Callithrix jacchus: one gene and its partners. The protein of the gene in region 5 interacts with the protein of the main gene of each other region in a pairwise test. Links are inferred from orthologs where the notes say so. Each region holds a gene or a part of one and is shown on either strand. Other genes may lie near its edges.

Region 1 (4,951 bases), on a different chromosome or scaffold from region 5:
TGATGGAAGGTGAAGCCAAAATAGTTAATAGTGAAAGAATTAAGGAAGGCATGACTTTTTTTTTTGTTTTAACAAGGAGACAAAAAGTCCTGATAGATGTGAATCTGGGGTTTGTGTAATGAACCCAGGAAGGAGTTGTAGCAATGTGCTTCTTCCAGGTTCCTCCAGGCTAGGAATAAAAGCAGGGTCACAAAACAGAAAGTTTGCCTTTAATCATTCTACAATAATCTTACTTCCCTGAAATCCCTGCCCAGGATAGTAAGAGATAGTGAGTGTGGCCCACACAGTGCCACGAGCCACTTCTCTGGGACTCCATTCCCCCTATTTTGTTCCTCTTTTTCTCCATATCCCCTTCTTTTCTTCATGGCTGAAGCCAAGTCCCTGGTGCTTGGAGAAATCCAATTCCAAAGTCGTCACCCTTACATTGCTGTATGGTTGTTGCTGCCCTCGACATTTGTCTGGTGGGTCCTGGTGGAGGTGAGGCACCAGCTACCTGTATTTCATAGTCTCCATGTCCAGTTTGTGTAAGGCTTTGGAAGCTCTTTTATTTCTCATTTTATTTCGAGGTTCCAACATCACTCTTCTCTGATCCTGGCCTATTGCCGTTGGCCAGCCCTGCAGACCTTAATCCAAACTCTCCTTGGGAAAAATCCCTTCCCAGGCAAGCCTCTGTGCACTTTGGCAAGCAGATCCACCTACAGGTTACCTTCCAGACTTGGTCAAATATTCCTGTATTCTTAGAAGAAAATAGATTAGATGCATGACGGTAATTTCTGAAAAGTTATGGGAAAAGATAGGCAGGGGAAAAACAGGCTGAAATATGAGGTGAGGAGAGAGAATGGGGCTGTAGGTGGCTTGTGCAGAGCCTGCCCTACTAACCCGTATTTTTCATCTGATAGTCTCTCTTATTTGTTTTTCTATTTTGTATTGTTTGTATTTTCATAAATACAAACTTTCGAACTTTTTGGAAACTTGGCAGATTATAAATAAATAAATAAATAGGCAAGGTAAACTTTAGTGGCCATATTGTATTTAGCATTCTGAAGACAGAGGTCAAAGGTAGAGGCAAAACCAAAACAAAACAAACTTTTGATAAACATGGTTATGGCCAGAACTTGGAATAGCAAGAAAAGAGAATGTTAAATTAAATATAGCTCTCAAATGACAATTCAACCCTGACCACCTCTGCTGATGGCAAAGTAGTTTGGCTGACTTTGTTTCGTCAACGCCAAACCAAAGCTAGGTGAAGGCAAGCGCCAGGGCTCCAACTCTTGTCGTGTGGAGCAAGCTCTGGGGCCACGCCGGGTGGGAGAGTGAGAGAAATCCTCGGGGGTAGGTGAACCGGGTCCCTCCATGGAAGTAGGGACGTCACTGGAAACAAAGGCTCTGGAAAGCAACGGATACAGACTTGTGAAGGTTACCCTCGACGGGGGCTTTCTCTCCATCGCACTCCAGACTACCCCTTTTGCTCACTCAATTTCCCCCACTCCAAGCTAAACTTGCCCTCTCTCGTCAATTTCCATTCTATTCCCGGGAACGTCTGGCCCACGTTCCGCAGAGCTCACGCTCTTCCCGCTCTAGGATTCTCTGGCCCTCCTCCTTTTCCCTCTGCCTCTGGCCCCTTTCCTCCTCTCTCGGCGTCTGCCTCCCTTTCTTTCCGGGAAGCCCCTCGCTTTCCTTCCCACCCAGCCCCGACCTCGGGGACCAAGTCAGGGGTTGGGGAGGCAGGTGGATCCGAGGGAAGGGCCGGGCAGGGTAGGAGTTGGCAGGGCCGGGACCCGACGGGACTGAACGGGACGGGACTGGACGCGGCGCGCCCTGCCGGCCGCCAGGGGCAGGGAGAGCGGGTCCTGCCCCTCCCGGGCGGGCGCGCGTCCGGCCCGAGGGGCGGTCCCTGGGCTCCCGCTCGCCGCCGCCGCTCCTCGTCCTGCTCCTTGCTCCCCAGCGGCGGGAGCGGGGTGCCGGCGGGCAGGAGGCGCCCGAGGATGTGCTGCTGGCCGCTGCTCCTGCTGTGGGGGCTGCTCCCCCGGGCGGCGGCGGGGGCCTCGGGCAGGACCTACTCGCACTGGACCCTCCTCGACTCGGAGGGCAAGTACTGGCTGGGCTGGGACCAGCGGGGCAGCCAGATCGCCTTCCGCCTCCAGGTGCGCACCGCGGGATACGTGGGCTTCGGCTTTTCGCCCACTGGGGCCATGGCGTCCGCCGACATCGTCGTGGGCGGTGTGGCCCACGGGCGGCCCTACCTCCAGGTAAGCGCGTCTCCTCCCGGAGCCCGCCCGGCAGAGCCCCGTCCCGTCCCGACCCCAGCGAGGGCGCAGGTGCGGGGCGTCCCCAGGGCCAGCAGCTCGGTCTCGCCTGGAGCAGCCCTGAGCCCCCGGCCGGGCTCACTCTCACCTCCGCTGGCAGCGCCTGCGCTCCCCGAGCCGCCGAAGGCGCGCAGAGGCTGGGCGCCCCGGGAAGCCGAGCTCGAGTGACCCCAGGCAGGTTTCCTTCTTTGAACACTTTCCTGTCCCCAGCGCCCCACTTAAGAGACACCTCCCTACCCCCGCCTACACACCTGCAACGCATTCCCCTTCATCCCTGACGGGAAGGGAGAAGGACCTCGGCTTTGGCTTTGCGGATCTAACGGGACAGCTCGCAGAGAAGGGAGGGGACAGAGCGCTTTAGTACTTCGCGGACTTGCTGTCTAGGAGTGGGAATCTCAGAACTTTCCAAATCGTGGCTATTTTGGAGCCCCCAGGCGCGGGGCTGATAACAGCTACACCATTCTCCAGGAAAAGGTCCCTAAGAATCACTTAGGGACTTTGCTATTCCGAGAGCTGTTCAGGAAGCCACATTTAGAGACTAAAATCGAAGGTACCCGTGCAAAATCTCCTGTGAAGTGGCAACACTTTCGCTTACTTTAATAACCAACAAAGTTAATTTGACCGCTGCTGATTTACTTTGAAGGAGCCTAAGTAACCACCTTGCCGGTTCATAGGTGGCGCCTTACTAAATAGAAAAAGGAGAAAAAGATTGTGAGATGACCAAAATGATTAGGTGGTTAGGTTTCCTGGACATCCTTGTTTAACCGTGACCAGCGTTTGGATGGCGGTGAATGTACACGCTTTGTTGCTTATAAAATTACATCCAAACATACTGCCCTTTGCTAAAAGTTTTTTTAGCAAAAGTCAAAACTCCTAATTGCTCTGGCATTGCATTAAGGCTTTGATAGTATTAAAATCAGTGTTCTCGGTGGATTTAGAGTGCATTTCTTAGTGATTTTATCCCTAACTTCTGAGTTCGATTTCCACACCGTTTAGACTGAGATATGCCATCAAATTTGAACCCTGTTCTGGCACTGAGCCGTTAACTCTGGCAGGAAATAAAGTGACAACAATAAAAAGTTCAAAATCAGTCTATTATCTATTTTTTTCACAAATTAATCGTTTCTTCCCCGAAAGAAGTAATTTTGCAACTCCAGTAAAATAAAGTTTATGAGGATTGCATTCTGCTGAAGTCACTGATGCATAAATTTTCTCCTGGTGCAGCATCTCAGACATTAACTTTGTGAACCAAGGATTTGACCACAAACGCAGGCCTCACTAGGGGAATGACTTATTCTCCTGTGTTGTAAAGTAGACAATCCCTTATTTAAATACCGATTTGAGCCAACGTTTTCTAAAAATATAAAGTTTAGCTGTTTGTTTAGGGTGAGGAGTATAGCATGCCTTTTTAACTGTCCTTGCATGTTCTACAAAAGGGAGCATGAGAGCTCTATGTTACTATTAAAATGGGACACACTTTGATTGTTAACTCCATGTTATTTTCCCCCAAAGAGTAGCATTTCTAGAAAGCTCACCCTTGTATGTCAAATGAAAGGCCATGAGTAGAATTCTGATTCAACATGCCATAATAGGTCCACCAAAAGGATAAACTTGGTTAAACTACAATGTTTTCACCCTGTTGGTAAAAGATTGCATAAGACTTAATTAAGTACTTGTTAGATTGATTTTGAAACATAGAAATTTTCTTAAAGTAATTAGTGAATACACATCACTATGAGATAAATTATGAATGGCTGCATTCCCAATATACTTAAGGAGCAATAAATAGGATTTCCCCTTCATTTTTATTCCTATGAAAATAAAATTATTTTTACATGTAAAGGATGATCATTTTCTTATTTGGCTGACATATTTTTACCTTTCCATTTCTATAAACATTGTACTCATTTTAGGGCATACAAAATGCATTAAAAATTATGCTATCCAATTAAATGGAAAGACAGTTTACTTAAAATCTGTTTAATAAGATGAAATACACCAAATACTATAAATGAAAAAAATAAATCAATTTCAATTTTTATCATCCAGACTGAATGATTCAATTTTACAGTACTCAAAATTCAATCTTCTCTCTAGAAACTATTTATTTAAGATTCTTCATACATTAGTGTGAGAAAGGTATTTTCAGTAACTATATCAAAAAGTAAATAGTATTCTTTTTTCTTTTTTTTTTTTTTCAGACAGAGTCCCACTCTGTCGCCCAGGCTAGAGGGCATTGGCACTATCTTGGCTCATGGCAACCTCCACCTCCTGGATTCAAGTGATTCTCATGCCTCAGCCTCCCAAGTAGCTAGGATTACAGGTGCTGGCCACCACACCCAGCTAATTTTTGTATTTTAGTAGAGATGAGGTTTCAGCATGTTGGCCAGGCTGGTCTCAAACTTCTGACCTCAGGTGATCCACCTTCCTCAGCTTCTCTAAGTGCTGGGATTACAGGTGTCAACCACCTTGCTTGGCCATAAATAGGATTCTTAAATGTAGCATATGTGATTCTATTAGTAGAATTTATATTTTGTGTAATTTTGCTCCCGGTGAGAACAACATTTATATAGAACAATGACACAAAAATAATCGGCTCCTGGGGCATCAATATATGCATAGCAGCCAGTAAGAGTTGGACAGAC
Region 2 (4,257 bases), on a different chromosome or scaffold from region 5:
AAGCTGTGGACGCTCTCAGCCAATGATATGGAGGACGACAGCATGGTGAGCTGGCACCATGGTCACTTGATTGCTTTCTTTCAAGCCTCAGTTTCGGTGTGAACAGCTATAGTGATCTTTCTGGACTTGTCGGTGTGAACGTATTTAAAGCCCAGATTTGTGAATATTCCTGTCACTTACATCTTTGGTTTAAAAGGAAACTCCATGTTGGTGGCTTTTTTTTTTTGAGTTGGAGTCTTGCTCTGCCACCCTGGCTGGAGTGCAGTGGCGTGATCTTGGCTCACTGCAATCTCTTGCCTCCTGAGTTTAAGTGATTCTTTTGCTTCAGCCTCCCAAGTAGCTGTGATTACAGGCACATGCCACCACACCTAGCTAATTGTTGTATTTTTAGTAGAGACAGGGTTTCACCATGTTGGCCAGGCTGGTCTCAAACTCCTGACCTCAAGTGATCTGCCCGCCTCAGCCTCCCAAAGTACTGGGATTACAGGTGTGAGCCACAATGCCTGTCCATATTGGTGGCATTTTAAATTTTTTAGCATCTCTTTTTCCCCACATGATTTCTTGTTCTCACTTCATGTGATATGTTAAAAACTCTCGGGGGTTTGTGTAAACCTGAAAATATTTTGTCAGCTTAAATTGTTTTATTGGCCTCTTGGTTTGGGCAAGTTGCTGAATGTTCCATGCTTTAAAAAGCAATATTTTCCATCTTTGCCATATCTATAATAAAGTTCTTCATTTCTACACTTCTACTATTGAAGTTAGAGTAGTGAGCAAAATAAGTCAGGTTCATGCTCTCAAAGAGTTTACAGACTAAGTGTCTACACATTTACAAAGAATTACATAAAGGTATATATAATTATTTGATTTTTCTCGGGGATTATATGGAAGATATTCCATTTTTCACATGACTCGTCATAGACACTTCTCTCTTTGTTCTGCCTGCTCTCTCTCTTCTCCCCACTCCTGTCCCCCACCCCCAACATTCTTGACAATTTGCTGGCCAGTCTTACAGGCTTTTCTCAAGTAAATTTGTTCCCAATTCCTTCACAACCTAGTGCATAGTCTGCGGATGTAGTTTAACTCACTGTTGGCCTCTTGGGCATGTGGTCAGGTTGAACATTATGATCAGCCAAAAGAAGGACAGGGTGGACACCTTCTTTACCCTGGATTCTAAGTTTCCTCTCGAAGCCTGTGGTCACTTTAGCTTTTCATTAGCAGAAACCACAACTGTGTCACTCGTTGCTTTAACACTCTCCAGGATCTCATTGACTCAGATGAGCTGCTGGATCCAGAAGATTTGAAGAAGCCAGATCCAGCTTCCCTGCGGGCTGCTGCTTGTGGGGAACGGAAAAAGAGGAAGGCCTGCAAGAACTGGTAAGTGCCCGGTGACTGGAGCCTGTGATGCTGCCTCCAGTGGCCTCATGCTCAAGTAATTGCAATGCTTTACTATTTTTAAAACATACATTTTCCAATCTGGGCAACACAGGGGGCCCATCTCTACAAATAATTTTTTTTTTTAATTAGCCAGGCATGGTCGTATGTGCTTGTGGTCCCAGCTACTTGGGGCAAAGACAGGAGGATCGTGAGCCCAGGAGGTCGAGGCTACAATGAGCCGTAATTGTGCTTAATCTCATTCTCCCTCAGAACCCTACCAGTGAGCCATGATTGTGCCACTGCCCTCCAGCCTGGGCATCAGAGCGAGACTTTGGTGTTTTCACATTTGTTTTTATAAATGGTTGGGAAGGATGGTAGAAAGTTAATCTGTGGTGTTCAGGCTTGTTTAATCATCAGTGTTTTTAAAATGTAAAAGCTGCCAGCATTTACAAATCAGGAGATTTTAAGTGAAAACACAGATTTTTTTTTCCCTGCTGTTCTTGAATTTGGAAAATATGGCAAACTGGGTCCACTTTACCCAATATGATAACCAGCTGAAGCTGAGTAGTGGCCACCCTCTGTAGACAGAGCATACACCCTCTACTTCCCCCCATCCTCCTCTCCCTCCTGTCTCCCTCAGCAGCCTCTCACATTGCTGCTATCTGCCTGGCCCATAGGCTTCTGAGTTATGACACCGAGTGTGAAGAGAAAAGGCTTACAGCACATTTTGGCACTGTTAGGATTTGGGATTTCTGGGTGGTGGTAATTCTCATTCATTAGTCACTGATTTTCCCACAGCACCTGTGGCCTTGCTGAAGAACTGGAAAGAGAGAAGTCAAGGGAACAGATGAGCTCCCAACCCAAGTCGGCTTGTGGAAATGTAAATAGAAGGATCATTCCTCAGCATTCACAAAACCCCCAGGGGGATTAGGCATCCTTCTACACTAAACACAGACAAGCTCTACCTCACATATTTTAGGAACAGACAAATGCATGAGCACATGAACATAGGTAGTAATGGGGAGAAAGGCTGTCTCCTGAGGGTGAGAGTGGGTTAGCGTGCATGTGTCCGTTGGGGAGGGTCTTGTGTTTTATTTGTGGCCCATTTCTTTCTACTCCAGAGTTAGACATTTAACCGAGGTTGGTTGTGTTTGGAACGGCATAAAATATAGAACTATGGCTGGGCACAGTGACACATGCCTGTAATTCCAGCACTTTGGGAAGCCAAGGCGGGCGGATCACTTGAGGTCAGGAGTTCCACACCAGCCTGGCCAACATGGTGAAACCCGTCTCTAGTGAAAATACAAAAATATTAGCTAGGCATGGTGGTGCATGCCTGTAATCCCAGCTTCTTGGGAGGCTGAGGCAGGAGAATCACTTGAACCTGGGTGGTGGAGGTCTCAGTGAGCTGAGATCACACCACTGCACTCAAGCCTGGGTGACAGAGGGAGACTCTGTCTCACACACACACACACACAAAATGTATATATACATATATATGTATGTATGTAGATATACGTGTATGTATATATACATATATGTGTGTATGAACTATGGCCTCCTAAGGAACTTATTCTTGACTATAGTTTTTCACAAAACCAGAAATCTTGAAAACTCTTAGTATTTGAGTCTCAGTTGGACCTGCAAACATACTCAGCTATTTCCTTCAGGCCACTGTGGCTACATTATGAAATTAGGAATTTCTTTCTTCTGGCTGGTATGCCTAGGATAAGCTGACCCTTCCCCATTCTTTCTCTCCAGTGCTACCTGGGTGATGCCTTCCGCTGTGCCAGCTGCCCCTACCTTGGGATGCCAGCCTTCAAACCTGGGGAAAAGGTGCTTCTGAGCGATAGCAATCTTCATGATGCCTAGGAGGGACCCAACATGGGACACATCTGCTCCTTCAGCCAACTCCTGTCTCTCACATCCCACCACTGTGGCTCCTCCCGCCTCCTCTGGATTTGTTCACTCTGTTTGAGATCTGTTTGCAGAGTGGGTGCTTAGCAGACAGAGTGAAGCTGGCTTGTGGGCACAGTGGTGTATAGTGCTGCTCTGTATCAAGACACCAAGGTATTATGGGTCCTGGTTACCCAGAATGGGCTGGGTTTCTTCACCTCATGTTAAAAGAAGGGAGTGTCCTGAAGAAGTCCTTCTGTTAAAATGCTGACCAGAACACTCTTGAGCCCAGACATCCTTGAGCACTAACACTCTGTGACAGAGCTCCAGGCCCCTGCCCGGAGTCTCATCTCAGCAATGCTGCCACCTGCTTGTCTTTCCGAGTTGTTAGTTTATTCCATTCTTTGTGACACAAGTCAAGTGTCTTATGACCTCCTCAGGGCACCAGAGGAGTCACTCACTGGTTGCTGTGATGATATTCAGTGTCCCTCTGCCCCCTTCCACCCCCCAACCCCATTTTACTGTGGCATTGCATCTGTGTTTTATTGTCATTTCTGTTAACCATCAGGTATTAAACTTGCTGCATATCTTGAGATATCTTGAGATTCTGCATGTCTTGTAAACAGAGGGGATGTACATTTGTGTGTGATGTTGGATAGTCATCCACGCTCAGTTTGGACCATTGGAAGAACTTAGTGTTACACACAAATGGGGCTAGTGCTGCGCTTAGAATAGGGCCTGTCAGCCCACTTTAGAAGAGCCCAGGTTGGTGAGCATTTAGAGGGAAGCAAGGCAGACCTCTGAACCAACAATAAGTCTCTGAGCAGAGACCCCTTTGTTCTTGTTACCCACCCGTATGGACTTGGGATCAATCTTGCCAAATATTTGGAGAAATTAATGTGGATTTAAGAGACCTGCATTTTTATATTTTACTAGTAAATAAAAGTGTTCAATTGGTATCTGTCCTTGAAACTTGATTTTATTCTC
Region 3 (2,938 bases), on a different chromosome or scaffold from region 5:
CAATGCCCAATGTGAGTGAGGGGCTGGAGCCAGCTTGGCTGTGTGCCCCCAGCCACCTGGCCCTGACATGCACCTTACAGGGGCTCTGGGGCCTAGGGCTGGCTGGCTCCTTGCTGGGAGCCTGGCTGATGCTGGACTCATGCCACCCCCTAGTGGGGGATTGGGGCAGTGCCAGCCATCAGACTGGCTGCTCCCTGTGCGCTACTGAGCCTAGAAGTGACAAAAACCCACCCCTGTCCCACTCAGGCCACCTGCTGCTCCGACCACCTGCACTGTTGCCCCCAAAACACTGTGTGTGACCTGATCCAGAATAAGTGCCTCTCCAAGGAGCATGCTACGGACCTCCTCACCAAGCTGCCTGCGCACACAGGTACCAGAGGCAGGCACAGATTCAGGGGAGGGGCCCCTTTCCTCCATTTTGGGCCTGGCAGTAAGATCACTGCACGGTGGCGTAAATGGTACCCTCCATCTTCAACACCTGGTTCCAGCTGTGGAGGTGGCAAAGGGTGGATACCCCTGAGGGTCCTCTCTGCCTTCCTCACAGTGGGTGATGTGAAATGCGACATGGAGGTGAGCTGCCCAGATGGTTACACCTGCTGCCGCCTACAGTCGGGGGCCTGGGGCTGCTGCCCTTTTACACAGGTACTCAGGGGTGGTGGGTGGGTGGACTGAGCACTGTGGCAGCCAGCTGGACCCCAGTGCCCACTGGCCCTTCCTGTCTGCCATAGGCTGTGTGCTGTGAGGACCACATACACTGCTGCCCCTCAGGGTTTACGTGTGACACACAGAAGGGTACCTGTGAACAGGGGACCCACCAGGTACCCTGGATGGAGAAGGCCCCAGCTCACCTCAGCCTGCTGGACCCGCAAGCCTTGAAGAGAGACGTCCCCTGTGATAACGTCACAAGCTGTCCCCCCTCCAATACCTGCTGCCAACTCATGTCTGGGGAGTGGGGCTGCTGTTCAGCCCCAGAGGTACATGGGAGAGGACAGCACCTTGGCCTGGGAAGGTGGTGGCCAGACTCCTCTTGCTTTCTGCCCTCTGCTTCACCCATAGGTGGCACTCAGCTCTGTCAGATTCATCCCCAGCTGGAGATGCTATAAGCAGCAAAGGCGGGCTGGAGAGGTAGGGGCTCGACGCTGTGCCCCACATGTGGCTACCTAGAATGGCCTTTTCTGCCCACCCCCAGGCTGTCTGCTGCTCGGACCACCAGCACTGCTGCCCCCAGGGCTACACGTGTGTCGTTGAGGGGCAGTGTCATCGGGGACCCAAGATCGTGGCTGGGCTGGAGAAGATGCCTGCCCGCCGGGCTTCCGGATCCCACCCCAGAGACATCGGCTGCGACCAGCACACCAGCTGTCCAGTTGGACAGACCTGCTGCCCGAGCCTGGGCGGGGGCTGGGCCTGCTGCCAGCTGCCCCATGTGAGTGCCTCCCTGCCTTCCCCTGGATAAGGGAGCTAAGCCCGGCGAGGGGACAGGAACATAATGCCATTCTGCACCCTCTCCCCACCAGGCTGTGTGCTGTGAGGATCGCCAGCACTGCTGCCCAGCTGGCTATACCTGCAACGTGAAGGCCCGATCCTGCGAGAAGGAAGTGGTCTCTGCCCAGCCTGCCACCTTCCTGGCCCGTGGCCCTCATGTGGGCATGAGGGACGTGGAATGTGGGGCAGGGCACTTCTGCCATGATGACCAGACCTGCTGCCGAGACAGCCAAGGGGGCTGGGCCTGCTGTCCCTACCGCCAGGTCAGTGACACCCCCCACCCTGGGGCTCGGTATGGCCAGGGACCCAGTCCCGCCATGTCCAACCCTCTTGTTCCACTCTGACCATCCAGGGTGTCTGTTGTGCCGATCAGCGCCACTGCTGTCCTGCCGGCTTCCATTGCTCAGCCAAGGGCACCAAGTGTTTGCGCAGGGAAACCCTGCACTGGGACACCCCTTTGAGGGACCCAGCCTTGAGACAGCTGCTGTGAGGGACAGGACTGAAGACTCTGCAGCCCTCAGGACCCCACTTGGAGGGTGCCCTCTGCTCAGGCCTCCCTAGCACCTCTCCCCAACCAAATTCTCCCTGGCCCCCATTCTAAGCTCCCCATCACCATGGAAGGTGGGGCCTCAATCTAAGGCCTTGCCTGTCAGAAGGGGGTTGTGGCAAAAGCCACATTACAAGCTGCCATCTCCTCCCCGTTTCTGTAGACCCTGTGGCCAGGTGCTTTTCCCTATTCACAGGGGTGTGTGTGTGCGTGTGCGCGTGCGCGTTCCAATAAAGTTTGTACACTTTCTTAACAGCGTCTGATTTGCCGCCTTGCCTGCATTCCCCAGGGCCCCAGAGCCAGAGTTCGCTCCACTGCCAGCACTCCCCTCCCCTTCCCCACAGAAAGACACACACGGCCTTAACCTCACCAGTTTATATTTGCTGCTGCCCACAGCCGCCGTCATCACATTACCCCCTAGTCCCCAGAGCTGCCCCAGCCACCAGCCCTGTGACATCGTAGCCCAGAGGTGGGCTAGTCAGCAAGCAGCACTCCCAACCCCTCCCAGGGGGCCATAGAGAACGCCCCCGCCCTTCCCAGCCCTCACACTAGCAGCTGAGGCTGGGTCACCCCTCCTGCTTTCCCACAATAGAGCTTTCTATATACAGCCACACTACACAGGCACTGCTTCCCCCCAGCCCTCCTCCCCGGCACCTCCCCATGAGGGCTGGACCCCCCTCCTCCCCGGCTTGGAGGCAGACACAGGGTCCCTTGTAAGACACAACCCGGCACCTACCACGGAACGGCTCCGAGGCCCCTGGGCCCCTCTCGGGCCTAGGGCTGGGGGCAACGCATGAGGGCCCCACAGGCCCCCAGGGCGCGCACCCGCGCAGAAGGGGCGGTGCCAGGCCCGGCGCGGGCGCTACTTGACATTGAACACCATCAGCGGCCGCTCCTCCCGCCGCTGCC
Region 4 (4,257 bases), on a different chromosome or scaffold from region 5:
GTGGCACTACAGTATTTGGGGCTAGACAATTCTTCATTTTTAGGGAGCTGTTCTGGGCCTTTTAAGATGTGTAGCCGCAGCCCTGGCCTCTACCCACCAGATGCAGTATTATCTTCCTCTCCAGTTGTGACCCCAAAAAAAGTCTGCAGATCTTGTCAAATATCCCTGGAAGAGGGGGGCAAAACTACCCCCAGTTCTATACATATGTAAGTCATTTGCTAGAATTTCAGAATTATCATTTTTTCATAGGATACTTTGGCCCTAGAAATGCTGACTCAAAGCCATTATTTTGGGCCATCTACCTAATGCCTTCTCTCTTTCTCTTGAAGGCTTGCCAGAATCTTTATGTAGGTGACTCTAGATCATGGTTATTTACTTTGATTTTTCTCAGATATTAAAGCATATTTTCCATCTGAGTTTTGAATGGTATGGGTAAGGCTATTTACAGCCTACTAACCCAAAATAGAAGTGGTTGTGCAACCACAGATATTTCATTGAAAATTCTCAGAAAGATAAAAGCATATCTTGAACATCACGGATACAGATATCTATGCTGAAATGTCAACATATAGATAGATAGGTTAACCCCAGAACGCTTGACGATTCCATTTTTGGTGCAGTTATATATCATTTCACTTTTTTGCATTTCAGGACCTCCAGGATATGCTGGCTACCCTGGGCCCCAGGTCGGCTACCCTGGGCCCCAGATCGGCTACCCACCCCCACCAGCTGGCCATCCAGGTCCTGGGCCAGCTGGCTTTCCTGTCCCAAATCAGCCAGTGTATAATCAGCCAGGTGGAGCTGCAGGGGTACCATGGATGCCAGCACCACCGACTCCATTAAACTGCCCACCTGGATTAGAATATTTAAGTCAGGTAATTTGAAGGACACAACATACTCATAAAAAAACAGAACTGTGCTTCCAGCTTGAGAAACCAGATTAACAAATGAATAATTCATCAAAGTCTGAAATGGCAAAACTACATTTTCTGCTAACAGTTTACTGTAATTCTTTTAGGTCAGGTTCAATTTTAAAGCAAAATACAAATGCCTTAGAAAATAGTATTTTCTGTGATCCTAAATACAATCTGTGATAATAGCCAATAGCAAACATTTAGTTAGTACTCTTTTCTTGTTTTTGTCATATACATTATCCATGTATTAACTCATTTAATCCTTACAGAAAATCTGTGATATATAATGCTACAGTTAGTTCCGTTTTTCAAAAGAGGAAACTAAGGTCCAGAGAATTTATATCTCTCACTCTGGGGTGAGAACCTAAAGAGTTGAGAATGGTTTTTCAATCCAGAAACTTTGGTACTGGGCATGGTGCTCTTTAATCTCAATACTGAATAATTGCCTTATAATTTGAAATAAAATTTAAATATAGTTTATTGTTGAGTTTCAATAAGTGGCACCAAACAAGGGGTTAATATTTTATGTGCAATATGACACACCTTTTTATTTTAACTAATAAAACTACATTTTTATGATGCTGCTTTTGTTTTTTGAAAGATCCAATTATATAAATGTCATTAATAAAGGAGTAAAAAGTCCTGGATTTTGTTCCACTAAATTCTAATTAGTCTCAGCAATAAGAGGTTTAACATTTATGTGGTGTTAGAAATCAAGTAGGTCAAATAGAAACAAGAAACTCTGTGTGTTCAGTTTATACAAATAAAAACAAATATTCTTGTGATATTCAACCAGTTTTTATTTCATGAATCATTTCTTTCTTGCACTGTGTTTAGTAACTTAATTTCTCACAATGCACTTAAGTGGCACAATCATAGGAATTTTTAGTCATTATTATATCATGCAAGAAATATATAAAAATAGGTATTTTAAAAATCAGGGTCGTAAAATACATAAAGGATGTTATCACATATGACAAAGGTTGATATTAAGTATGATTAATACAAATTTGAAACGTGTAGAAAATTGATGGCTAAAAAAGTTATCAATATTTCTTGAGCCTCTTCCAGAAGAAAGATTGTTATCTACTTTTAAAATTATTTGACACATAGTACTTGTACATATTTATGGAGTACAGTGTGGCACTTTAATGCACATAGACTATATGTAATAATATAATCAGGGTAATTAGCATATCTATCACTTTCAACATCTTATCATTTTTAGTGTTGAGAACATTCCAAATCCTCTCTTATAGCTATTTGAAAATGTACAATAAATTATTGCTAATTATAGGCAGCCTACATAGCTATAGAACACTCGAATTTATTCCTCCTCTCTAGCCATAATTTTGTATTCATTAATCAACTTCGGGTTATACCCCTCCTCCCTACCCTTCACAGTTTCTAGTAACCACTGTTCTACTCTCTACTTCCATGGGATCAATTTTTTTAAGCTTCCATGTATAAGAACATCCAGTATTTTTTTTTTTTTTCTGTACCTGGCTTATTTCACTTAACATAATGTCCCTCAGGCTCACCATGCTGCTGCCAATGACAGAATTTCATTCATTTTTATGGCTGACTTTTATTCCATTGTGTGTATTAAGAATGAATTTTTCAGCTGGTCATGCCTGTAATGTCAGCACTTTGGGAGGTCGAGGTGGATGGATCACAAGGTCAGGTATTCGAGACCAGCCTGCCAACACAGTGAAACCCCATCTCTAACAAAATTAGAAAAAAGTGGCAGGCGCCTGTAATCCCAGCTACTCAGGAGGCTGAGGTAGAGAATCACTTGGACCTGGGAGGCAGAGATTGCAGTGAGTCCAGATCGTGCCACTTCACTCCAGCCTGGGTGACACAGTGAGACTCCATATCAAAAAAAAAAGAATTTTTCTGTATTCATTTATCTATTGATGAACACTTAGGTTGATTCTACATGTTGACTACTAGTGCTGCAATAAGCATGACAGTGCAGATACCTCTTTGACATATTGATTTCCTTTCCTTTGAAATTTTTGTTTTGAAAATTTTGAAAAATTTGAAAAAAATATTGTTTTGGAAAAATGGTAGTAGGATTGCTGAATATTCAATTTGGTAGTTGTAATTTTAGTTTTTGAGGAAGCACTACATAATGGCTGTCCTAATTTACTTTCTCACCAAATCTTCCCTGCTCCACATTTTCACTATTATTTGTTAGTTTTTGTCTTTTTGATAATAGCCATTCTTAATTGGGCAACAATAATATCTCATTGTGGTTTGGATTTGCATTTCCCTGGTGATTAGTGATGTTAAGCATTTTTTCATAAAAGTACCGAGCGTTTGTATCAATTTTCTAGTTTTTAAAGTTACTCCAGTGTAAATCAATTTTATTTGATCTAAATTTCCACACGTTAATTGTAAACACAATATTTTATTAATTAAAAATATTAACTTGTTTTACACTAAAAAGTAATATAAGCTATTAAATGTTGATAATTGATTCCCTGTACTTTAAATATATAAATACATGAATTTTAATTTGGTTGGCTTAAAAAAACCTTCATTTAACATATACTTACCACTTTTTTTTTCCTATAATAGATAGATCAGATACTGATTCATCAACAAATTGAACTTCTGGAAGGTGGGTGTTCATTGTATTAATCTTATTTCTAAAAAGAATAAAAGTTTATGCAGATAAAGAAACATCAGATTTCACAAATATAACACTCTCACTTATATGGGACAGTTAAACTGGTTATCTACTATAACAAAATAATAAACATCAGCAATTCATTTCTAAAATTTAGGAATCAAAAAGTAAAATGCCATTATGCTGGGCACTTTCCTCGGGATATTGACACTAACTTAAAAGGAAAATAGTCAAAACCTTTATTTTGCTCCTCTCTTCATACATCACGTTTTATCTGGCTTCTACTACTTAAACTGTTTTCTCTGTAATTATGATCAACTTCAGAATGGCACGGAGTCATATTCAAAAGTAAGTTATCTTTTGTGTTTGGATGAGAAAATATTGGAAAATTATCATTTGTTCCCACAGTTTCTCTTAGGAGTTAAGATGAACCCAAGAAAACCTTTGTATACCAGGTTGGATGCAGGGCACTGTGGCATTGGAGAATGCTGACCAACTAGCCTGCAGGCTTGGCTTCATAGAAGAGCACTCCTGCTGAATGGCCTTACATTTCCGTGGGTCCAGGACTCCTTAGGTGCAAGAATAAACTTAGGAAGACAATTACTGTTTTACAATAGCTGCCAGGGGAAGAAGACCCTGGGTAGATTTATGAACCATAGTGTTTTCTTTCTAGATATAAAAGGTTTAATAAAAACTCTACCAGTTTTT
Region 5 (4,761 bases):
TTCTTGGAGGTTGATGTCACTGAAGGTGTGGAGATGACACAAACCAGAAAGTGCGTGGGAAGCATGGAGAGTGGGGTACAGAGTCCACCACGTGGAGAGCCAACGTCGGAGGAGGCCCAAGGGAGAAAGAAAAACCAGGAACCACCCAAGAAGGCCAGGCAGGAGGAGGGCAGGGATCTTGGAGGCAGGCCCCCAATCCAGTGGAGCCACTCCAGTCCCTTCTGTTCTGAGGTTACAATGGGTGATGGCTCTGTGGGGCTGCAATGAGAAGTGGCATGCAGGGAGGGGCAGAGGAGGAGAGACATACTGTGGGTCCCAGGTTCAGATCCCAGGACTGAACTGGAATCACCCTGTCTGTGTTGAAGTTCAAGACCTACCACTTTTGTTCCCAGGACTCTCAGTTCTTCCTCACCTTTTTGCAGTTTCATTTTTGATAATTTCACCTTCCTAAATGTACACATTTGACTTCACTTTCACTCACCTCTCACCCTCACGCCTCCACCAGCCCCTTCTCGCTATTACACACCCAGGAGACACAGGAGGTGGAAGGAACGTCTGGAGCCCCAAAAGCCAGGAGTCTCAGGAGTCAGGTGTCCAGAGAGCCAGGAACCCTGACACCCAGGATCCCCAACACCAAGGGGCCCTGATAGTCAAGAACCCCAACAGTCAGAAGCCTCTACCACCAGGAGCCCCGATACCCAGGGTCCCCTACAGCCAGGAACCTCAACACCCAGGGGCCCCTAATATAGCCAGGAACCCTGACATCCAGGAGCCCCTAGAGCCATGAACCCTGACATCCAGGAGCCCCTACTATAGCCCGGAACCCCGACATCCAGGAGCCCCTGCTACAGCTGGGAACCCCGACACCCAGGAGCCCCTGCTACAGCTGGGAACCCCGACACCCAGGAGCCCCTACTACAGCCGGGAACCCCGACACCCAGGAGCCCCTAGTATAGCCGGGAACCCCAATACCCAGGAGCCCCTAGTATAGCCGGGAACCCCGACAGCCAGGAGCCCCTACTATAGCTGGGAACCCCGACACCCAGGAGCCTCTAGTATAGCCAGGAACCTTGACACCCAGGAGCCCTTAGAGCCAGGAACCCCAACACCCAGGAGGCCCTACTATAGCCAGGAACCCCGACACCCAGCAGCCCCTACTATAGCCAGGAACCCCAACACCCAGGAGGCCCTACTATAGCCAGGAACCCCGACACCCAGAAGCCTCTACTATAGCCAGGAACCCCGACACCCAGCAGCCCCTACTATAGCCAGGAACCCCGACACCCAGCAGCCCCTACTATAGCGAGGAACTCCTACAATAGCTAAAAACCCTAACATCCAGGAGCCTCTACAGCCAGGAATCTCGATACCCAAGGGCGCCTACAGCCAGGAGCCAATACAGCCAGGAACCTCCACAGCCAGGGGCCCTGACGGCCTGAAGTCACTAGAGCCAGGAACCCTGACAGCCAGGAACCACGGGAGCCAGGAGGCCCACAGCGGAGTGCCCAGACCTGGCAGGGTCAGAGCCCCCCAGCGGCATCCACCGTCCGCCGCCGCTTCTGGGATCTCTCCGGCTCTGCAGCGTTCCGTGCAGACAGGGGCGGGGCGATTCCTCGCGCAGCCGTTCTGCGCTCCGCTGCCCCGCCCACATCCGGCCGCGGGCACTCGATTGCTCCTGTCTGGTGGCGGCAGCATGGCGGCGGGGGCGGCTGCGGCGGCTGTAGGGGCCGTGGAGGAGGTCGGCTCAGTCGGGCAGTTTGAGGAGCTGCTGAGCCTCAAAGCCAAGTAAGCGGGGAGGCGAGCGGCAGGAGTGAGGAGCCGGGGCAGGAGTGGCCGCAGGACCCGGCCGGCGGGGGACGGCGGGCCGCCCAGCCCGGCTCCTTGGCGCCCGGCTCGCTTCGGCCTCGGGGGACCGGGCCCGGCGCCGCCCGTGGACTCCCCCAGGCTTCAGGCGGTGACTGGTCGGAGCCGCGGGCTTCCCGCCCCGGGCCAGCGAGCAGGGCGCGAGGTTCGCCCCAGCCCCAGCCCCAGCCCCAGCCCCAGCCCCAGCCCCGGCTCCGACGCCGACGACGGCTGTCCAAGCCCGAGGGACGCGACCTTCCCGGCCCCGGCCTGGGCAGCCCCGCGGCGGGACAGAGGCGGTGACTCAGCTGTGCCGCGGGGCGGAGCGGGGCGGGGTACGGAGCGGCGCCGAGACCCCGGCCCTCCACGCCACGGAGCGGGGAGCCACGGCTGCGGGCTCCACCTTTCCTGCGCCCGCCGGGAGGGTGCTGCAGGCTCGGCGTCGGCCCCTTCCTCTTCGCCTCCCTCCAGGAACGCCCCTGTCGCGGGAAGAGCGGCTTGGGAAGCCCCGCCGCGCTCGCTAGGCCTGGCCGGCTTTTGAAGTCAGCCTGGAAAGTTTGTTGGTCAGCGGGCAGAGTCGGTGTTCAGACTTAACCTGTTGCCGGAGGCAGAGTTGCTGCTCGGCTTTGGCCCCGGTGTCCGGCCGGCGAGCCTGGGGAAGGCCACGGGAGGTCCGTGGGAATGCACAGAACGTGTTTTCTGGGTGTGCTGGAAGCGCTGAACGGGCAGCCTGCGGACGGCTCGGTGCTCACCGGCATGCGCGCTTGCAGGGAAAGGTCTGCACGTGGCCTCTCCGTGGGGATTGGCACCACCTCCCACCGTAGACCACTCCAGGGACTCAGTCGTTCGCTAGTTGTAGTAGTGGTTTTTAAAGGAACTTTATGTCGGATTGCCCGGGATCCACTCATTAGCCGTGTAACCCCTGGGCACGTTTCGTACCCAAGCCTCAGTTTCCCAACGGTGAAATAGCACCTATTAGTACCTCAGGGTTGTGGTGAGGGTTAAATGAGATGATGTACGTAAAACGTTATGAATACCATGCCAGGTATGCAGGAAACACTCAGGAGATGTTGGCCCTTAGTTATTTCAGTAGGGAGTTGTTTTTGAGACGGGCTCTGGCTCTGACACCCAGGCTGCAGTATAGTGGCGCAGTCGCCGCTCACTGTAGCCTCTGCCTCCCGGGCTCAAGTGATCCCACCCATCTCCTCATCCCATCTCAGCCTCCTGAGTAGCTAGGACCACACTGCTTTCACCACTACGTGTTTTGTTTTTTTTTTTTTGCGACTGAGCCTCGCTTTGTTGTCTAGGCTGGAGTGCAGTGGCGCAGTATCGGCTCACAGCAACCTCCGTTTCCCTGGCTCAAGCAGTTCTCCTGCCTCACACTCTCAGGTAGCAGGGATTACAGGCGCCCACCACCACACCCGGCTAATTTTTTGTATTTTTAGTAGACTGGGTTTTACCATTTTGGCCAGGCTTGTCTCGAACTCCTGACCTCAAGCGATCCACCCACTTCAGCTTCCCAGAGCTAGGATTACAGGTGAGAACCACCGTGCCTGTCCAATTTTTATATTTTTTTGTAGAGACGAGGTCTCGCTATGTTGCCCAGGCTGGTCTCGAACTTCTGGACTCAAGCGATTTGCCCTCTTCAGCCTCCAAAGTGTTAGGATTACAGGTGTGAGCCACCATGCCCAGCCAAAAATACTTATTGATGTAAATTTTGTTTTGGAGACAGGCTCTTGCTCTGTTGCCCAGGCTGGAGTGCAGTGATGTGATCTTGGCTCACTGCAGCCTCAACCTCCCAGGTTCAAGCGATCCTCCAACCTCAGCCTCCTGAGTATCTGGGATTACATGTGCGAACACCATGCTGGGCTAGTTCGTGTATTTTTTTGTAGAGATGAGGTTTCCCCTTGTTGCCCACGCTGGTCTTTGGAACTCCTCAACTCAAGTGATCCACCTACCTCGGCCTTGTAAAGTATTGGTATTATAGGCTTGAGCCCCCATGACTGGCCCTGTTGATCTAAATTGAGTGAAATTTTGCTGACTGAATTTGAATTAGAGACAGGTAGTATTATGATTTTGCCATGGGGAGTGCAGGTGAGATGGGAGTGTTGCCTTTGGAAATGGGGAGGAATGAGAGTTACTAATGGTTAGAAATGCTTTACTAATGGATAGAAATGCTTTATGGGGTGGTGAAATTAAAAGTGTTATTTAAAACAGCTCCTTAGGCATTTCACATTTACCTGGGAAATTGTTAAAAAAAAAAAAAGCGGAGGTTGGGGGGAACACTTAACGTTTACTCACTGCTGGAAGCTGAGTTCTTAATCATCCAGTACAGGTCAGCACAGTCACAGGAGTCACCAGAAGTGGCCTCTTGAAGTAAGCAGCTCTTATCTGGAACTGCCCTAAATAAATGTTTTGAATGTATATCACCTGAAAAGACTGTTTTGTGGGTGTGTGTTTTATGTTTGTTTTTATGCTTCATTTTAAAAAAAGTCCTTAAACTATCAAAATGGATAAAAGTTTTTTTTCTTTTCTTTTTTCTTGAGATGGTATCTTGCTCTGTCACCCAGGCTGGAGTGCAATGGCAATCTCTGCCTCCCAGGTTCAAGCAGTTCTGCCTTAGCTCCCGAGTAGCTGGGATTACAGATGCCCGCCATAATAGCTGGCTAATTTTTGTATTTTCAGTAGAGGTGGGGTTACACCATGTTGACCAGGCTGGTCTAGAACTACTGACTTGAGGTGATCCGCCTGCCTCAGCCTACCAATGTGCTGGGATTACAGGTGTGAGCCACTGCATGTGGCCAAAATGGATAAAATTTTAAATGTAAATACCATTTGGATGTATTTACATTTAAACACATCGACTGGCCCATACTTGAAATGACCCAGAAAATAATGTACACTTTCCTTAGTGACTAG
Region 6 (4,257 bases), on a different chromosome or scaffold from region 5:
TTACTTTTAGTGAAAAACCAGAAACCTGTTTCCAAAAATAAACAGTTAAATGTTGATATATCTATTTAGTAGTGTACCATTGAGGGGGAAAACACTGGCAGGATCTATACAAAAAGGTTATAGTAATTACTTTTGAGTTACTTAAAATCTTTAATATGTATTTTTAAGTTTCTGATTTTCTTACAAAATATGTATCATATTCAGAAAAATTAATTTGCTTTGCAACTCTACCGAATAAAATATGAATATGGAAAGAAGTCATATAATATTCATTGAGACGCCAGGTGTGGTGGCTCATGCCTGTAATCCCAGCACTTTGGGATACTAAGGCAGGCACATTGCAAGATCAGGAGATGGAGACCATTCTTGTTAACATGGTAAAACCCCATCTCTACTAAAAATACAAGAAAATTAGCCCAGTGTGGTGGTGGGTGCCTGTAGTTCCAGCTATTCAGGAGGCTGAGGCAGGAGAATCACTTGAACCTGGGAGACAGAGGTTGCTGTGAGCCGAGATCATTCCATTGCACTCCAGTGGGCAACAAAGAGAGACTCTTTCTCAAAAAAAAAGTATTCATTGAGAGTTTGATATTCTTACCAGACTTAGATTTTAAAATATTAAAATAACAGTTCATAAGAGCTTCTGCACAGCAAAAGAAATAATCATTAGGGTGAACCAGCAAAAAAATATACAATTAAAAACCAACTCCACCAAAAAGTGGGCAAACGATATGAACAGAGACTTTTCAAAAGAAGACATTTATGTGGTCAAGAAACATGAAAAAAAGCTCACCATCACTGGTCATTAGAGAAATGCAAATCAAAACCACATCGAGATACCATCTCATGCCAGTTAGAATGGCAATCATCAAAAAATCTGGAGACAACAGATGCTGGAGAGAATGTGGAGAAATAGGAACACTTTACACTGTTGGTGGGAGTATAAATTAGTTCAACCATTGTGGAAGACAGTATGGCAATTCCTCAAGAATCTAGAAATAGAAATTCCATTTGACCCAGCAATATTACTGGATATATACCCAAAGGATTATAAATTGTTCTGTTAGAAACACACATGCACATGTATGTTCATTGTGGCACTGTTTATAATAGCAAAGACTTGGAACCAACCCAGATGGCCATCAATGATAGACTGGATAAAGAAAATATGGCACATATACACCATGGAATACTATGCAGTCATAAAAAAGGATGAGTTCATGTCCTTTGCAAGGACATGGATGAAGATGGAAACCATTCTCAGCACACTGACACAAGGACAACCAAACACCACATGTTCTCACTCATGGATGGGTGTTGAACAATGAGATCACATGGACATGGGGAGGGGAACATCACATACTGGGGTCTGTCGGGGGATGGGGGGGCCTAGGGGAGGGATAGCAGGGGTGGGGGAGTTGGGGAGGGATAACATTAGGAGAAATACCTAATGTAGGTGACGGGGGGATGGAGGCAGCAAACCACCATGACTTGTATATCTATGTAACAGACCTACAAGATCTGCACATATACCCCAGAACTTAAAGTAAAATAAAAAAAATAAAATAATAGTTTGCTTATGGGAGGATATAGATAAAAAATTTCAAGTCCTGGGTTGTTATTCTGTAGGTAGAAGGCATGTGGCTAAAAAAATTCACTTGTGGTTTTGAGTCAGTTTTTGTCTGTTTCATTCTTTTTTCTCCTTTCACTTACAAATATAAATATACCTTTTAAATATAAAATATATGAAAATATTTAATACATTTAAGTTTTGTGTATTATAAATTTAGAAAATTATTGGACAGTATAGAAATCATTAAATATTGCTTTTATATAATTTTTATTGAGAAAAACACAGGTTTTAAAACATAAATATTTTAACATTGTTTTTTATTTCATAATTCTTTCAGGCATAGATGTGCCAGAGATCAATGAGGAACAGAGCAAAGTTTATAATAATGCATTGATAAATTGGCACCATCCAGAAAAGGATAAAGCTGATAGCTATGTTCTTGAATATCGGAAGATCAACAGAGATGATGAAATGTTGTCATGGAATGAGGCTGAAGTGTGCGGAACAAGTAAAATAATTCAAGACCTGGAAAACAGTAGTACCTATGCTTTCAGAGTAAGAGCTTACAAGGGTTCAATCTGTAGTCCTTGCAGCAGAGAATTAATTCTTCATACTCCTCCAGCTCCAGGTATGGTGAATATCAGGAATAAAAAAATCATAGAGTTGCAAGAGACCTTGATAAAGTAGACTAGACAATATCTCCATGTAGACCTGCATTGAAACAAACTCTTGTTTTTAAGACTCGGGAGAAGTAGCTTCTATTACATCTGGGATTTAGAAATTAACTGAATACTTGAATTTTTACCTACTAGGCTGAGAACAGGATTAGGTTTTAACTGATGTCAGATAGAGAAAAACATGGAAGAAATTTGGGTGAGCAGAGCTATTAAGTTGGGATTAAAATAGCATAAATGCTACCTTAAAAGTTTTAAGTATATGATTCTATAGTTTTGGTTAGTTTATGGAAATCTCTAAAACACAGGATCTAGGTAGGTATTTTTTAAAAAATTATTGGTGTAATATCCTAAAATATAATTTTGATTTAATCTAATTCTGATTTGTCTGGATTTTTAAAATTTAACTTGGCATTTCTCAGCTAATCGGGACGGAAGCCATTTATTAGAACTACGTGAATAGCTTTTCCTCCTGTGCTAAAAGTTCCTCATGCCCAGTCACCATTCCCTCCCTTTCCAAGTAAAAAATCCACTGATACTACATATAGAGCACGGAAAGATTTTTATAGAGTGAGAATGACTAAAGTTTTGTTGATGCTCACTATGATGTATCCATGAACAAGGGATATTTAGAAGCAAAGTTCCGCTCAGCCTGGTTAGGAGGAAAACGTTTTCCCCTTTCAGTTTCTGCCTTCGACATACCTTTAATTGTATTTTAGATCCACTGCTCCCTGCCTTTTTAGTGGCTTATATACCCATATTTTCTGCACTCTGACTTTTCCTTTTTTGTTCAAAATAGAAAAGCACAATTTGTTTTTCATGCACATTGTGGCTTTTGAAAAATTGGAACACAGACATACAAAGTTGGCTAAAATTGTATTTCTTGAATTTTAATAAAATCCAATAGAGTTTTGGGATAAATTTGCAAGTATTAAGTAAATATTTTATGGTTTATGCTATTTCCACTTCCTTTTCTAGTCTTTTTGACTAAAAGTGGAAGAAAAGCAAACCTGGACATAACGCTGTTTTCAATCATGTAGTGGAAGTGGGAAGGAGGAGAGGAAGTGCTGAGGTTGTCTTCCTTTTTCTGAGAGAAGATACATAACTAGGGTGACCTTTTAAATTTATTGTGCAAACTGGGAGACTTTTGAGATGGAGAGGAAGCACAATTAGTCATGCCAGGAAAATAGGCATTAGCAGGAAGAATAGTTGGTTCACATGTGGTTAATGGCGGTAGTTTGCTAGCAGCCTCTTTTTGGAAGTGGAGTCTGGCTCTGTCACCCAGGCTGGAGTGCAGTGACATCATCTAGGCTCACTGCAACCTCTGTCTCCTGGGTTCAAGCAATTCTCCTGCCTTAGCCTCCTGAGTAGTAGCTGGGATTACACATGTGGGCCAGCATGCCTGGCTAATTTTTGTATTTTTAGTAGAGCCAGGTTTCACCGTGTTGGCCAGGCTGGTCTCAAACTCCTGACCTCAAGTGAGGTGCTCACCTCAGCTTTCAAAGTGCTGAAATTATGGGCGTGAGCCACCATGTCCAGCTGCTAACAGCCTGTTAAAAAAAAAAGAGAAAAATACATGCATATATATATATATAGTGTGAGAGGGAGAGAAGTGGGTCTCACTGTGTTGCCTAGGCCAGCCTCAAACTCCTGCCTTCCATGTAGTTAGGACTAAAGGTGTGCACTACCATGCCTGGAGATCGTTTATAAAATTGTGAAGTAAAGATAAAATTTATCATCTTAACAAACAATTTTTAAGTATACAGGTCATTGGCATTAAGTACATTTACAGTATTGTTCAATTATCACCACTTGTATCTCCTTAACTCTCATTATTCTGAACTGAAACTCTGTGCCCATTAAACAGTTAACCCCATTCTGCCTCTCCCCAGAGACTGGTAACCTTGATTCCAATTTCTGTCTCTGTCAATGTGCCTATTCTAGGTATCTCATATAACTGGAATAGTGCAATATCTGTTCTTTTACATCTGGTGTATTTCAAGATTTATCCAT
Region 7 (3,571 bases), on a different chromosome or scaffold from region 5:
CTGCCTTTTTGGGTCCAAATGATTCTCCTGTCTCAGCCTCCCGCATAGCTGGGATTACAGGCACGCACCACTGTGCCCAGCTAATTTTTGTATTTTTAGTAGAGACGGGGTTTCATCATATTGGCCAGGATGGTCTCAATCTCTTGACCTCGTGATCTGCCTGCCTTGGCCTCCCAAAGTGCTGGGATTACAGGTGTAAGCCACCTGTATATAAGCTGAAAAAGCTCGGCCTATTTTCAGTTTTTTTATGAAAGCACTGCGTGGCATTGGAACTATCATGGCCAGCCTGTGCAGGGATGGCCCAGCTGAGGTTCTTTCCGCAGAAGAGACCTGTGAGTTCATGTTTGCACCTTTGGCCTAGACTCATTTGTCTAGTGTCCTACAGGAACAGTTTGAGCCCAGTCGTTTGCTCTGGTTTATGGGACGGTCTTGTCTAGGAAGAGCCAAACATCAGAGCGATAATAGGCGACATCTCCTATGGGGTTAGTGAAATCCAAGCACTTTGTCATTAGATCACCAAAAACATTGACACTATCATCATCATCTTCATCATCATCCCCACCTCAGGGGAGGAGTTCACTAGGACACAGAGTTTACCTTGCCCAAGGCCCTGTAACTATGCAGTCACAGGGCTGGAATTTAAACTCTGGGATCATCTGCCCTCAGGCCCTGTGACTGGAACCTCCCAGGATTTTGAGTCAGTGTCCACTTCACGTGCCCAACCCTCCGGGCAGGCCAGCACTCATCCTGAGACCTGCCACTGTGGACCAGCAGGGGAAGTCTGGGCCTTCAGGCGTCAGCCCCCATGTTACAAGGAAATGAGCAAGGGGCAGTCTGTGCTGCCTGTTTTCTACAAAGCAGCAGTGTGAGCCCCACCAGCATCAGTGAGAACTTGTGGGAAATAAGCAATCAGGGAGACCTCTATACCGCCTAAATCTGGGGTGGGACCCAGCTACTATCTCACAAGCCCTCGAACCTACTGATGCCACTGGCCTTTGAGAACCACGTTGATGATGCTTTTGGTTTCTCTTTCGGGGGTTTGGATTTTTGGGACGATCTCCTTTGGTTTGGGATATTTAAAAAACAACAAGGCCGGGTGCAGCAGCTCACGCCTGTAATCCTAGCACTTAGGGAGGCCGAGGTGGGCAGATCACCTGAGGTCAGGAGTTCAAGACAAGCCTAGCCAACATGGCGAAACCCTGTCTCTACTAAAAATACAAAAACTAGCCAAGCATGGTGGCGGTCCCTGTAATCCCAGCTACTCAGGAGGCTGAGGTAGGAGAATTCCTTGAACCCAGAAGGTGGAGGTTGCAGTGAGCCAAGATAGCACCACTGTACTCCAGCCTGGGCGAGGGTGAGGCTGTCTCAAGAAAACAAGAACACAAGCTCTGGGAGTTTGGGATGGAGCTACAACCGAAGTCTCTAATACACATCCTACTCCTTTCTGTCGGCAGGTGAGCTTAGACTCCCGGGTGAGAGAAGTCATCAACAGAAACATGGTGGAGCCGTCCCAACACATATTCGACGATGCTCAACTTCAGATTTACACCCTGATGCACAGAGACTCGTATCCTCGATTCATGAACTCTACCGTCTATAAGGACTTGCTTCAGTCCTTATCGGAGAAATCCATTGAAGCATAGGATTTTTCAAATATATTTATTATTAATAAAATAATAAAAGAACTCATGGGCTACATCTAGCACAGTGAATTTAGAGGCTGTAGCATCTTCTGCTGGAGTAATACTCAGGCTATTTTAATAACAGATGATTCCCTCAACAGACTGCTATATATTCACAATGTAAATTGCAGCCACCTTTACTGATACTTTTGGGAAAAGAGAAAGGGACAGGGCTGTTGTAGAAAGCGTATTTGCATTTGCAGTAACTCTAGCATGTGGTCAGTGGTGAAGGCTACACAGAAGGCTCCCTGCTGCCCAGGGCAGGTGCATCCACCAGAGCAAAGGGAGCCACTTCTGTTTTGCATGACTTTGGTAACTGGTTACTGTTCCCCCAAGAGAAGACATTCAGGTGTTTCTCAATCACCTCTTCCGTCCATTAAGCTTGGTTTGAACACTTCACTTATCAGTGCCATTACAGGGCCCAAATTCACAGTTCATAAAGATGTGACCACTACATGTAAAAATGGCATTCCGCGTGATCTTAGAGTATGTCTGTATGGAGATACATATGTGTGCGTGTGTGGGTCTCTGTGGTTAATGTAGAGCACTGATCTGAGGTGGGTCAGTCTCAAGTGTCTGGTAACAGAAGCAGTGCTTAGAAAATTCTTTTGTAGAAAAGAATTACTATTATTTTATTATCAGAATTTGCCAACCTAAAGAATGAATTTTTAAAATCACAATTTGGTCATCTTCACAAAACTGTCAAATAAGCATATTTCCATTTTTATTGAAAGAAATATGGGCATTTTCATTCTTTAAAGAAATAAAGCACAATAATTTTATCTCAATCTTTATTTTTCCATATGTACTATTTGGGAAACATAAGATTAAGAAAGTAGGGATACGTGCAGCATATCTTTTAGCTCCCAGACTAGGATTCTGTGCTTAGATCCCACTATTTTTATCAGAGGCAAAAAGAACTTCATAGCTTACAGGTAAAAATACTGGTTGGTAGACCTAGCCCATCCTGAAGAAACCCATCTCTACAATGAATGGGAAACATTCAAAATCTGGGACACTCTGACTAGTGGGAGAGATGCTATGTTGCAGGAGGTGGTGCTGCACTCCCGCCCTCACAGGGGATGGCTCTCCTCTGGGTCCAACCCTGCCTGGCCCCTCTATAGCCTGCCTGTATCTTCATGACTCAATTCAAGCCCCAAAGCCAAGCCCCTCTCCTTCATTCTCATAAAACCATTTTACCTCCTACTCTACTATGCAAATTGTGTCCCTAAGCCTCCTCAACTTCCCATACAACCTATAAACATGTATAGATCAGTGTCTCTTCTCATCTCCCTCAGTCCAGTCCCAGAGAACAATGTGTTTTTTCCACGTTTTTGAGGTGTCAATCCCTTACCTGTGCTTCAATTCCAAGTCTTCCAATCTCATTTCTTACTAAAGAAAACAGATATAATTGTGAATGAGACATAAGCCCTGCCCTCTAGTAGTTTACATTCAGTAAAAGCCGACTGATATGTTTGTGGGAACTCTGAGACAGTAAGAAATACAGCAGGGGGAGAACAGCGCTGCGGGAGTCTTGAAGGGTTATGGAAAGATTCTGGTGGAGATGGCACCAAAGTCAAAATCTAGAGAACGAGAAGAAAGTATATGTGTTGGGGCAGGGAGGGCATCGGACTAGATGGTATTCATAACTGAGCGGCCCCAAAGGAGTCCAGTTGTGGACATGCTGAGAACAAGGGAAGGCACACCGACGTCATCGTCAGTTGAATGGAGGGACCTGGGTGGTTGAGTCTAGGCTGGCATACTGAGTTTGGGGTTTTTCAGCACATAGGCAAATAAGACTGCCTGGAGAATTATGCGTGAAAAGATAGCCGAGGGTAAATCACTGCAAGGATAGACAGAACTGAGACCAAAGGAGGTTTAGGATTCAC

The links.
Region 1: the proteins of GLRX3 (region 5) and MOXD1 interact in binary tests that used the Homo sapiens proteins (3 or more experiments, as listed by UniProt). The link is inferred for Callithrix jacchus from reciprocal best matches to the Homo sapiens genes GLRX3 and MOXD1.
Region 2: the proteins of GLRX3 (region 5) and CIAPIN1 interact in binary tests that used the Homo sapiens proteins (3 or more experiments, as listed by UniProt). The link is inferred for Callithrix jacchus from reciprocal best matches to the Homo sapiens genes GLRX3 and CIAPIN1.
Region 3: the proteins of GLRX3 (region 5) and GRN interact in binary tests that used the Homo sapiens proteins (3 or more experiments, as listed by UniProt). The link is inferred for Callithrix jacchus from reciprocal best matches to the Homo sapiens genes GLRX3 and GRN.
Region 4: the proteins of GLRX3 (region 5) and phospholipid scramblase 1 interact in binary tests that used the Homo sapiens proteins (3 or more experiments, as listed by UniProt). The two-hybrid records come from large-scale screens. The link is inferred for Callithrix jacchus from reciprocal best matches to the Homo sapiens genes GLRX3 and PLSCR1.
Region 6: the proteins of GLRX3 (region 5) and E3 ubiquitin-protein ligase TRIM36 interact in binary tests that used the Homo sapiens proteins (3 or more experiments, as listed by UniProt). The two-hybrid records come from large-scale screens. The link is inferred for Callithrix jacchus from reciprocal best matches to the Homo sapiens genes GLRX3 and TRIM36.
Region 7: the proteins of GLRX3 (region 5) and RGS20 interact in binary tests that used the Homo sapiens proteins (3 or more experiments, as listed by UniProt). The link is inferred for Callithrix jacchus from reciprocal best matches to the Homo sapiens genes GLRX3 and RGS20.

Annotation. Positions count from the first base shown.
Region 1 is NC_133505.1:139,053,786-139,058,736, reverse strand, and holds the start of MOXD1 (DBH-like monooxygenase protein 1), read left to right. Parts: upstream 1-1,933; 5' UTR 1,934-1,985; coding exon 1,986-2,249; intron 2,250-4,951.
Region 2 is NC_133521.1:15,307,471-15,311,727, reverse strand, and holds the end of CIAPIN1 (anamorsin), read left to right. Parts: coding exon 1-45; intron 46-1,258; coding exon 1,259-1,374; intron 1,375-2,172; coding exon 2,173-2,254; intron 2,255-3,135; coding exon 3,136-3,246; 3' UTR 3,247-4,227; downstream 4,228-4,257. UniProt on the Homo sapiens protein: Component of the cytosolic iron-sulfur (Fe-S) protein assembly (CIA) machinery required for the maturation of extramitochondrial Fe-S proteins.
Region 3 is NC_133506.1:71,191,960-71,194,897, forward strand, and holds the end of GRN (progranulin), read left to right. Parts: coding exon 1-11; intron 12-246; coding exon 247-370; intron 371-544; coding exon 545-642; intron 643-728; coding exon 729-974; intron 975-1,189; coding exon 1,190-1,423; intron 1,424-1,514; coding exon 1,515-1,745; intron 1,746-1,834; coding exon 1,835-1,972; 3' UTR 1,973-2,282; downstream 2,283-2,938. Other genes in the region: protein FAM171A2, read right to left, coding at 2,892-2,938. UniProt on the Homo sapiens protein: Secreted protein that acts as a key regulator of lysosomal function and as a growth factor involved in inflammation, wound healing and cell proliferation. Regulates protein trafficking to lysosomes, and also the activity of lysosomal enzymes.
Region 4 is NC_133518.1:38,664,045-38,668,301, forward strand, and holds part of phospholipid scramblase 1, read left to right. Parts: exon of another isoform or gene 1-651; coding exon 652-875; exon of another isoform or gene 876-3,497; coding exon 3,498-3,540; exon of another isoform or gene 3,541-3,568; intron 3,569-4,257. UniProt on the Homo sapiens protein: Catalyzes calcium-induced ATP-independent rapid bidirectional and non-specific movement of phospholipids (lipid scrambling or lipid flip-flop) between the inner and outer leaflet of the plasma membrane resulting in collapse of the phospholipid asymmetry which leads to phosphatidylserine externalization on the cell surface.
Region 5 is NC_133513.1:123,455,412-123,460,172, forward strand, and holds the start of GLRX3 (glutaredoxin-3), read left to right. Parts: upstream 1-1,677; 5' UTR 1,678-1,693; coding exon 1,694-1,785; intron 1,786-4,761. UniProt on the Homo sapiens protein: Together with BOLA2, acts as a cytosolic iron-sulfur (Fe-S) cluster assembly factor that facilitates [2Fe-2S] cluster insertion into a subset of cytosolic proteins.
Region 6 is NC_133503.1:94,750,300-94,754,556, forward strand, and holds part of E3 ubiquitin-protein ligase TRIM36, read left to right. Parts: intron 1-1,907; coding exon 1,908-2,198; intron 2,199-4,257. UniProt on the Homo sapiens protein: E3 ubiquitin-protein ligase which mediates ubiquitination and subsequent proteasomal degradation of target proteins. Involved in chromosome segregation and cell cycle regulation. May play a role in the acrosome reaction and fertilization.
Region 7 is NC_133517.1:709,812-713,382, reverse strand, and holds the end of RGS20 (regulator of G-protein signaling 20), read left to right. Parts: intron 1-1,454; coding exon 1,455-1,643; 3' UTR 1,644-2,470; downstream 2,471-3,571. UniProt on the Homo sapiens protein: Inhibits signal transduction by increasing the GTPase activity of G protein alpha subunits thereby driving them into their inactive GDP-bound form.